Xenopus tropicalis: one gene and its partner. The protein of the gene in region 1 interacts with the protein of each later gene in a biochemical or structural test. Links are inferred from orthologs where the notes say so. Each region holds a gene or a part of one and is shown on either strand. Other genes may lie near its edges. The genes, in order: plxnd1 and sema4a.

What was found.
Region 2: the proteins of plxnd1 (region 1) and sema4a form a complex in vitro, tested with the Homo sapiens proteins (2 studies listed by IntAct, with this or other methods). The link is inferred for Xenopus tropicalis from reciprocal best matches to the Homo sapiens genes PLXND1 and SEMA4A.

Annotation. Positions count from the first base shown.
Region 1 is NC_030680.2:132,018,644-132,023,025, reverse strand, and holds the start of plxnd1 (plexin-D1), read left to right. Parts: upstream 1-1,521; 5' UTR 1,522-1,784; coding exon 1,785-2,921; intron 2,922-4,382. UniProt on the Homo sapiens protein: Cell surface receptor for SEMA4A and for class 3 semaphorins, such as SEMA3A, SEMA3C and SEMA3E. Plays an important role in cell-cell signaling, and in regulating the migration of a wide spectrum of cell types.
Region 2 is NC_030684.2:142,870,684-142,874,966, forward strand, and holds the start of sema4a (semaphorin-4A), read right to left. Parts: upstream 2,828-4,283; 5' UTR 2,690-2,827; coding exon 2,620-2,689; intron 109-2,619; coding exon 1-108. UniProt on the Homo sapiens protein: Cell surface receptor for PLXNB1, PLXNB2, PLXNB3 and PLXND1 that plays an important role in cell-cell signaling. Regulates glutamatergic and GABAergic synapse development.

The DNA of each region.
Region 1 (4,382 bases):
ATGCAGGGAGTTGCACAGACAGATGCCGGGAGTTGTAGCTGAGTAAAAGAAGCTGTAGGAAGCATTGCACCGACAGATGCAGGGAGTTGTAGCTGAGTAAAAGAAGCCGTAGGAAGCATTGCACAGACAGATGCCGGGAGTTGTAGCTGAGTAAAAGAAGCTGTAGGAAGCATTGCACCGACAGATGCAGGGAGTTGTAGCTGAGTAAAAGAAGCCGTAGGAAGCATTGCACAGACAGATGCAGGGAGTTGCACAGACAGATGCCGGGAGTTGTAGCTGAGTAAAAGAAGCCGTAGGAAGCATTGCACAGACAGATGCAGGGAGTTGCACAGACAGATGCCGGGAGTTGTAGCTGAGTAAAAGAAGCTGTAGGAAGCATTGCATAGACAGATGCAGGGAGTTGCACAGACAGATGCCGGGAGTTGTAGCTGAGTAAAAGAAGCTGTAGGAAGCATTGCGCAGACAGATGCAGGGAGTTGTAGCTGAGTAAAAGAAGCCGTAGGAAGCATTGCGCAGACAGATGCAGGGAGTTGCACAGACAGATGCCGGGAGTTGTAGCTGAGTAAAAGAAGCCGTAGGAAGCATTGCGCAGACAGATGCAGGGAGTTGCACAGACAGATGCCGGGAGTTGTAGCTGAGTAAAAGAAGCTGTAGGAAGCATTGCATAGACAGATGCAGGGAGTTGCACAGACAGATGCCGGGAGTTGTAGCTGAGTAAAAGAAGCCGTAGGAAGCATTGCACAGACAGATGCCGGGAGTTGCGCAGACAGATGCAGGGAGTTGCACAGACAGATGCCGGGAGTTGTAGCTGAGTAAAAGAAGCTGTAGGAAGCATTGCATAGACAGATGCAGGGAGTTGCACAGACAGATGCCGGGAGTTGTAGCTGAGTAAAAGAAGCTGTAGGAAGCATTGCATAGACAGATGCAGGGAGTTGCACAGACAGATGCCGGGAGTTGTAGCTGAGTAAAAGAAGCTGTAGGAAGCATTGCATAGACAGATGCAGGGAGTTGCGCAGACAGATGCAGGGAGTTGCACAGACAGATGCCGGGAGTTGTAGCTGAGTAAAAGAAGCTGTAGGAAGCATTGCATAGACAGATGCAGGGAGTTGCACAGACAGATGCCGGGAGTTGCGCAGACAGATGCCGGGAGTTGTAGCAAACCAAGCAGAAGCTTCAGGCTGTATTATAGGTGATACATTGACTCCCACCAGGTATATTCCCTGGGGTCCTAAACCAATGAGGAAAGCTGTAATGGGGTTCGGGGGTAAAGGCAATGAATGGGGGACAGGCTGAGAGAGAGAGAGACAGAGAGAGAGAGGGAGAGAGAGAGAGGGGGGGGGAGAGAGAGAGCTCGGCAGTCAGGGAGACGGAGAGAGGAAGCAGAGAAGCAGCATCAGTTGAGTGAAAGTTGTGCCGCCGGGAGGAGGGAGGAATCAGTAGGAGGGTCGGAGCTGGGGGGGGGGGAGACAGGGAGGCATCAGTAACTAGCGAGGAGTAACATCCTGGCAGCAACGGAGAGGGAGCCGGAGAAGGGCAGTGGGACAGAGGGGAGGGAGAGACAGGAGGCACAGGGCTGGCACAGGGGGCAAGGGACGCGGGGTATTATAGCACAAGGGGAGCCAAAGGGATGCGCAGCGGGAACAAGAGCTGAAGGATCGGCACCCACATCCCCTCAACGGCACCCATATCCCCGCACCCACATCCCAGCACCCATATCCCCGCACCCACATCCCAGCACCCTTATCCCAGCACCCATATCCCAGCACCCATATCCATGCCCACTGATGGCTGCAGCTGTCCTGCTCCTGTCGCTGGTGGCATTGGCCTCAGGGCTAGAGTTGGTCAGTAAGTTCCACTCTCCGCAGGTCACTAATAACTTTGCGCTGAGCGCCGGGGAGGGGCTGTTGTACCTGGCGGCGGTGAATCGCCTCTACCAGCTGAACTGGGAGCTGCGGCCGGAGCTGGAGGATGTTACCGGGCCGGTACCGGACTCCCCGTTGTGCCATGCTCCGCAATTGCGAGAAACCACCTGTGACTTCCCCCGGACCTCAACCCCGAACTACAATAAAATCCTACTACCCGACCCGGAGCAGGGGCTGCTACTGACCTGCGGATCTATCTTCCAGGGGCTGTGTGAGCTCCGCGCCCTGCGGAACATAACGCTCCGCGCAGTGCCCTTCCCTGTGGATAACGCGGTGCCCAGCATGCTCAATGTAGCTGCCAACCACCCCAACGCTTCCACCGTAGGGTTACTGCTTCGGGGGCCCAGTGGGGACACCAAGCTGCTTGTGGGCGCTACATACACCGGATACTCCAGCCAGTTCTTTCCCTGGAACCAAAGTATCGCTGACCATCGATTTGAGAACAGCCCTGAGATTTCAATCCGGGCCCTGAACCTGACCGCCTCCGAGAAGCTTTTCACTTTTGACATCAGTCCGTCCGATGACAACATATTCAAGGTAAAGCAGAGCTTTAAGGCCCGGCATCGCCTGGGGTTTGTCAGGGCATTCCAGCAGGGACCATTCGCGTACCTGGCCATGAACGTGGAACCCGCCCCTGCGGGGAAGGAGAACCGACCCAGTAGTGTTTTAGCGCGGATCTGTCTGAAGTCTGAGCCTAGAACAGAGCCGCGCAAACTCACAGAGTCCTACATCCAATTGGGACTGCGCTGCGAAGGCCCAGGAGGGGTGCTGTATGGTCGCCTGCTGTCAGTGTTCGCGGAGTCGGAAAACATATTCGGGATATTCGAGGGGAAAAATGAGGCGGCGCTCTGTATGTTCCCGCTGCGCTCGGTGGCGCAGGAGATACGCGGGGCGCGGAGGGGCTGCTTTGAGAGTCAGGACGCGGGGGAAGTGACTGTGTTGGACAGTGTGGTGCAGGGGACTGGCCCCAGCTGCGAACGCAGGAACGCCAAGGTCAAGGTTAGTGTTTATAATTATACATTATTTCTCTTGCATGAAATTGGGTATGATTATGGGGCTTACTGAGGAGGGCATTTCCAATCTTTGTTGTTTGCTGAGAGTTGTAGTTGCAGTCAAGAATACTATCCCCCTATCTGTAGGGGATACTGACAGTAAGATTTCTTTGTGCCCAGAGAATGTACTACATGCCAGTCCTTACTTGCCATGACTGCAGGTTCCACAGCCCCTTATACCAAACTATATATGTGATACATTGATATACATAGTCAGAACCCACAGTGCTTCATTCCCAGACACAGGTGCTTGGCAGGTTCCATCATCAGAAATCTGCAGTTTCAGGCCTTATTGCAAAGGAACATTTAGGGGCCACAGACCCAGAACCTGCACAGATTGGAGAGGGGGTTTAGAGCAGCTCTGAGTTCTGATTATTGTACCCTCTTACCCTTTATATATATATATCTATCACTGACATTCTCCTTCGTCCGTTACTCCTTTACTGCACCAGTGGAGCTTACAATCTAAGGTGCCTGTCACATTCACATACACTATAGTCAGTTTAATCGGGGGCCTGTATGTATTTGTAGTGTGGGAGGAAACCTGAGTACCCAGCGCTGGTTTAATACCTGCTGTTCCCTAGGCATGTCCCTCCCCCACACACACTTGTACCCAACTGTGCAATCAGTTTGGATTGGGATGTGCAGTAATGGGCTGTGGAGTTACAAAAAGAGTTGAATATTTTTTCTCTATATAGGTACTGGGGCCCAACCCTTACGCTGCTGCTCTAGGCCCGTGCCCTTAGGTGCCTATATAAATAAATATAACCCTGGGAGTACCCGGAGAGGACCCGATGATGGGGATCACCCCCTGAAACATATATTGATAGAATATGAATTGTACTGGAGAAACCCAAAGGAGTATGGGGAGCCCATACAAATTCCCCGCAGATAGCAGGGCCAATCACAGCCCTTTCCCTGTAACATTTTCCTGTAAGCTACGCCAGGCTAGTGGCTGCCCGCTGACAAGATGGGGTTGGTGGCACCCTACAAGGCAAGGTATTGGGTGCTACTGGCTCCTTTTGGGATGATTTTTAATGAATCAGCGCAAAAGGGGATTTTTAAAGGGTACATTACTTGTAATACAAATGACTCCCTATCCCTAAACCATTCCTCATGTATATATATATATATATAGAGCAGTGTATGCAATACTGTTTCCTGGGTGCCATGCAATTACAATTACAAATGTACCATTAAAGCCTTGGCAGTGTTTACTGAACATATACTGCAAAATGACATTGAATTCCATTTTCATTCATTAGCCAAAAAAAGCAGATTTTGGGTGAATATCCCCTTTAAGTGAATATTTTTCCCCCCCCCAATGACTTTCCATCCGAGTGTGCGTGGGCGTCGGAGCTTAATAAATACAGGAGCGATGCGATACTGACGCTCATCCAAAAACACC
Region 2 (4,283 bases), on another chromosome or scaffold:
AGGGCAGCAACGCCAGGAGCGCCAGGAGCAGCCCCCAACAGCGCTTCCACGTGGGCATGGCTTGGCCTTCTCTACTCACCGTCCCCCGATGCCAACGCTCCCCGGGCACTGCCAACACACAGGGACAGGAGTCAGGGGCACCCCCATACTGATATATATATATACAGTGAATAAAGTACCCCCTGTTGTAACATATAGGGATATTATAAGGCACAGAGGGGTTCCTTATAATATATAGTGAATAAAGTACCCCCTATTGTAACATATAGGGATATTATAAGTCCCCGAGGGGTTCCTTATAATATATAGTGAATAAAGTGCCCCCTATTGTAACATATAGGGATATTATAAGTCCCCGAGGGGTTCCTTATAATATATAGTGAATAAAGTGCCCCCTATTGTAACATATAGGGATATTATAAGCCCCCGAGGAGTTCCTTATAATATATAGTGAATAAAGTACCCCCTATTGTAACATATAGGGATATTATAAGTCCCCGAGGGGTTCCTTATAATATATAGTGAATAAAGTGCCCCCTATTGTAACATATAGGGATATTATAAGCCCCCGAGGAGTTCCTTATAATATATAGTGAATAAAGTGCCCCCTATTGTAACATATAAGGATATTATAAGCCCCCGAGGAGTTCCTTATAATATATAGTGAATAAAGTGCCCCCTATTGTAACATATAGGGATATTATAAGCCCCCGAGGAGTTCCTTATAATATATAGTGAATAAAGTGCCCCCTATTGTAACATATAAGGATATTATAAGGCACAGAGGGGTTCCTTATAATATATACTGAATAAAGTGCCCCCTATTGTAACATATAGGGATATTATAAGCCCCCGAGGAGTTCCTTATAATATATACTGAATAAAGTACCCCCTATTGTAACATATAAGGATATTATAAGGCACAGAGGGGCTCCACAGCCATATAAAAGCACGAGGCCCTTGTCATGGAAATCCAAGGTGACTTCTAAAATCCTTATATTCTACAACAGGGGGCACTTTATTTATCATAATATACAAGTTTCAGTGAGTCATGTGACAGAAACAGGTCAGTGTTCCGAGTTCTGCAGGGCAGCGGCGGAACCGATATCTGGCAGTGGGAAGTGCAACAGATAATGTGGCCGGATGGGGGGGGTCCCGTTCTTCACTTTCTGTATGAATAGGGATCTACTGATCAATTCTGACCTCCCCCACTCATGGCTAGTTCTGACTCTCGACACAGCCATAAAGCAGCAGTCCTGCCCTGCTTTATGGCTGGGATTCTAGCTATCTGTATAACAGAGCATTCTGTCACAGTGGCACAGATCCTATCTGATCCCCCCCCCCCCCCCCCATTGTAAGCAGCAGTCCTGCCCTGCTTTATGGCTGAGATTCTAGCTATCTGTATAACAGAGCATTCTGTCACAGTGGCACAGATCCTATCTGATCCCCCATTGTAAGCAGCAGTCCTGCCCTGCTTTATGGCTGAGATTCTAGCTATCTGTATAACAGAGCATTCTGTCACAGTGGCACAGATCCTATCTGATCCCCCCCCATTGTAAGCAGCAGTCCTGCCCTGCTTTATGGCTGAGATTCTAGCTATCTGTATAACAGAGCATTCTGTCACAGTGGCACAGATCCTATCTGATCCCCCCATTGTAAGCAGCAGTCCTGCCCTGCTTTATGGCTGAGATTCTAGCTATCTGTATAACAGAGCATTCTGTCACAGTGGCACAGATCCTATCTGATCCCCCCATTGTAAGCAGCAGTCCTGCCCTGCTTTATGGCTGAGATTCTAGCTATCTGTATAACAGAGCATTCTGTCACAGTGGCACAGATCCTATCTGATCCCCCCATTGTAAGCAGCAGTCCTGCCCTGCTTTATGGCTGAGATTCTAGCTATCTGTATAACAGAGCATTCTGTCACAGTGGCACAGATCCTATCTGATCCCCATAGGAAGAGGGTGTGTCTGATAGAGCTCGTCCATGTCTGGAGCAAGCCCAGGCCCTGCTAGGGCTGGTAGAGCTCCTCGCAAATCTGAGGCCCAGGCTTTGGGGCCTAGCCCATGTGCTGAAATTTCAAGGCCAAAACTAAGGTCATCTTCGCTGGGAACCCCTAGATCTACTAGGAGGAGGAACAGCAGCGACAGTGATATGGAGGTAGAGAAAACTGTGCAAGAGGCCAGAAAACTAAAGCAAAAGAATGTACAGGTTGCAAGAGATCAGGAAGTTGGGCTTCGGCGTGGAGCAGCTTGTGAAGGATTTTCTTCCTCTGAAGGTCCCCCCTCCACCCCTTCAACAACCCCCAAACCAAAAGGAAAGCAAAATGAGAAGGCAAAGCAAACACCAAAGAAACCTGTGAGTACTAAACCCCAGAAACAGCAGGGCAGCCAGCAATGCCTGCAGGTACAGCTAAGGCTGTGGAGGCTGGAGTGAGTGCAGCCGAAGATGCGGCTGAACTGCACAGAGCACCGTCAGATGGTACCAGAACGCGAGCAACAAAGATGCCCGGCAGTCCTTCCGTTCCAGACTTGGTGCCAAACCCAATATCTGCAGAGTCTGAGGAGGGAGCCTGTCAGGTTTTGGGCCACAAGGGTGAACAAACTGCTGGTAAGAACTTACCTTCTTCTGCAGAGGAACCGCTAGTGTCCAACATGGTGCCCGCTGGCAAAGCTGAAGCTGAGAGTCCCATCAGTGCTGGCAGGGGCACTGGCACCGCAGAGGTAAATACAGCAGGGAATAGCCATGAAAGCAAGCAGTCAGCAGCACTCCACAAGCAGCTAAAGCAGGCAGGTGCTGAAGGGGTTAACAACACAGGTGCAAGTCGTCTAGGTGAGCAGGCAGCTCAGGTGCAAAAGCCTCATACTGTGAAGCAGCACATTCACATGGCAGCAAGTGAAGGGGAATCGTCTGCTATGGATACAGAGGGGGAGAGCCGGTTTGAAGGGGAAGTAAAGAGCACAAGCAGGAAAAAAAATAAAAATCAGCCCATAACAGCAGAAAGAGTTGCGGAAGCTCTAAATGAATTAGCAGCTCTTCAGAATGAGAAAAAGAAGTTGCAACTGTCTATTAAATGTCTTGTTAACTTATTTGCCGTGTCTGATGAGAAACACAAAGTGGCTACAAAGCAAAAGAAAGATGCATTGTGTAGAGAACTGTCTGATGTGGAATCCAGGATACAGACATTATTTCAGGAAGTCGGGCCATGGAAGGAAGTGTATCAGAACAAACAGAGATTTGACGCAATGCAGCCTTCCTACCAAGCCACACGCAGGAGGTACAATGTACAGACTGTCAGGCACTCAAGAACCTCAAACAGTGCCACCAGCTCAGAGAGTGACACGGAATTCACCAAACCTTTGCCTCCCCGGAGACAGAGGGGAAAGGAGAAAGTGAACTGGCAAAATATGGCTTTCAGTGAGAAGGAGCTGGAAGAGCAGGAGAGAAAAAAGCAGGAGCAAAAAAGTTTCAAAGTGAATGTCCCGCAAGTCACCGCAGACGTCGAAGCAACCTATGCGATTGGGTCTGACCAAGACTTCCCAGCATTGCCCACAGCAGAGGGAAAGAGCCCAGCGAGCCCACCAGCACCGCCCAAGCCCAGTCCCTGGGAGAATCCTTGTGAGCCAGAAGGGGAACCATCTACTCGCAGCAACATGGAAGTACCTTCTGTTCCTCAGGGGGTGGTGCAAGTACCTGTGGTGGGGCAAGTACCTGTGGTGGGGCAAGTACCTGTGGTGGGGCAAGTACCTGTGGGGGTGCAAGTACCTGTGGGGGTGCAAGTACCTGTGGGGGTGACTGAGGAACATGGAGAGAGTGAGGTGCAGAGTGAGTCTGTGGGGGAAGTGAATGCTGAGTGTGATGGACAAGTGGCAGTCACACAAAGGGTTAATGTTGGAAGGCCAATCAGGGAGGCAGAGCAAGGGACACAGAATGGAGGCAGATCAGAGGCTGGTCAGCGCCCAGACAGGAGTGGAGCTCAGCAGGGACAGGGAGCCCAGGTAGAGGTGGAGACAATACAGGCAGGGGGTGAGACTATAGCGGTAAATCCCTTACAGTTTTGGGAAAGGAGGAGACTCTTTGCCACCCCAGATTTTTCAGATAATGAGCCCTTCAGAAGGAAGAACTGGGTGAAAATCAAATGGGATGGTAACAAGGATGAGGCCCCCCCCAGGAAATTTATTGTAAAGAACCTCCTGTTAGATGGTATGGGCTTTACTCCCGGAGACCTCTCCGCTGTCATGGCTCAATCAAGCATCGAATTTGATGTTACCTTTAATCTCCCTGAT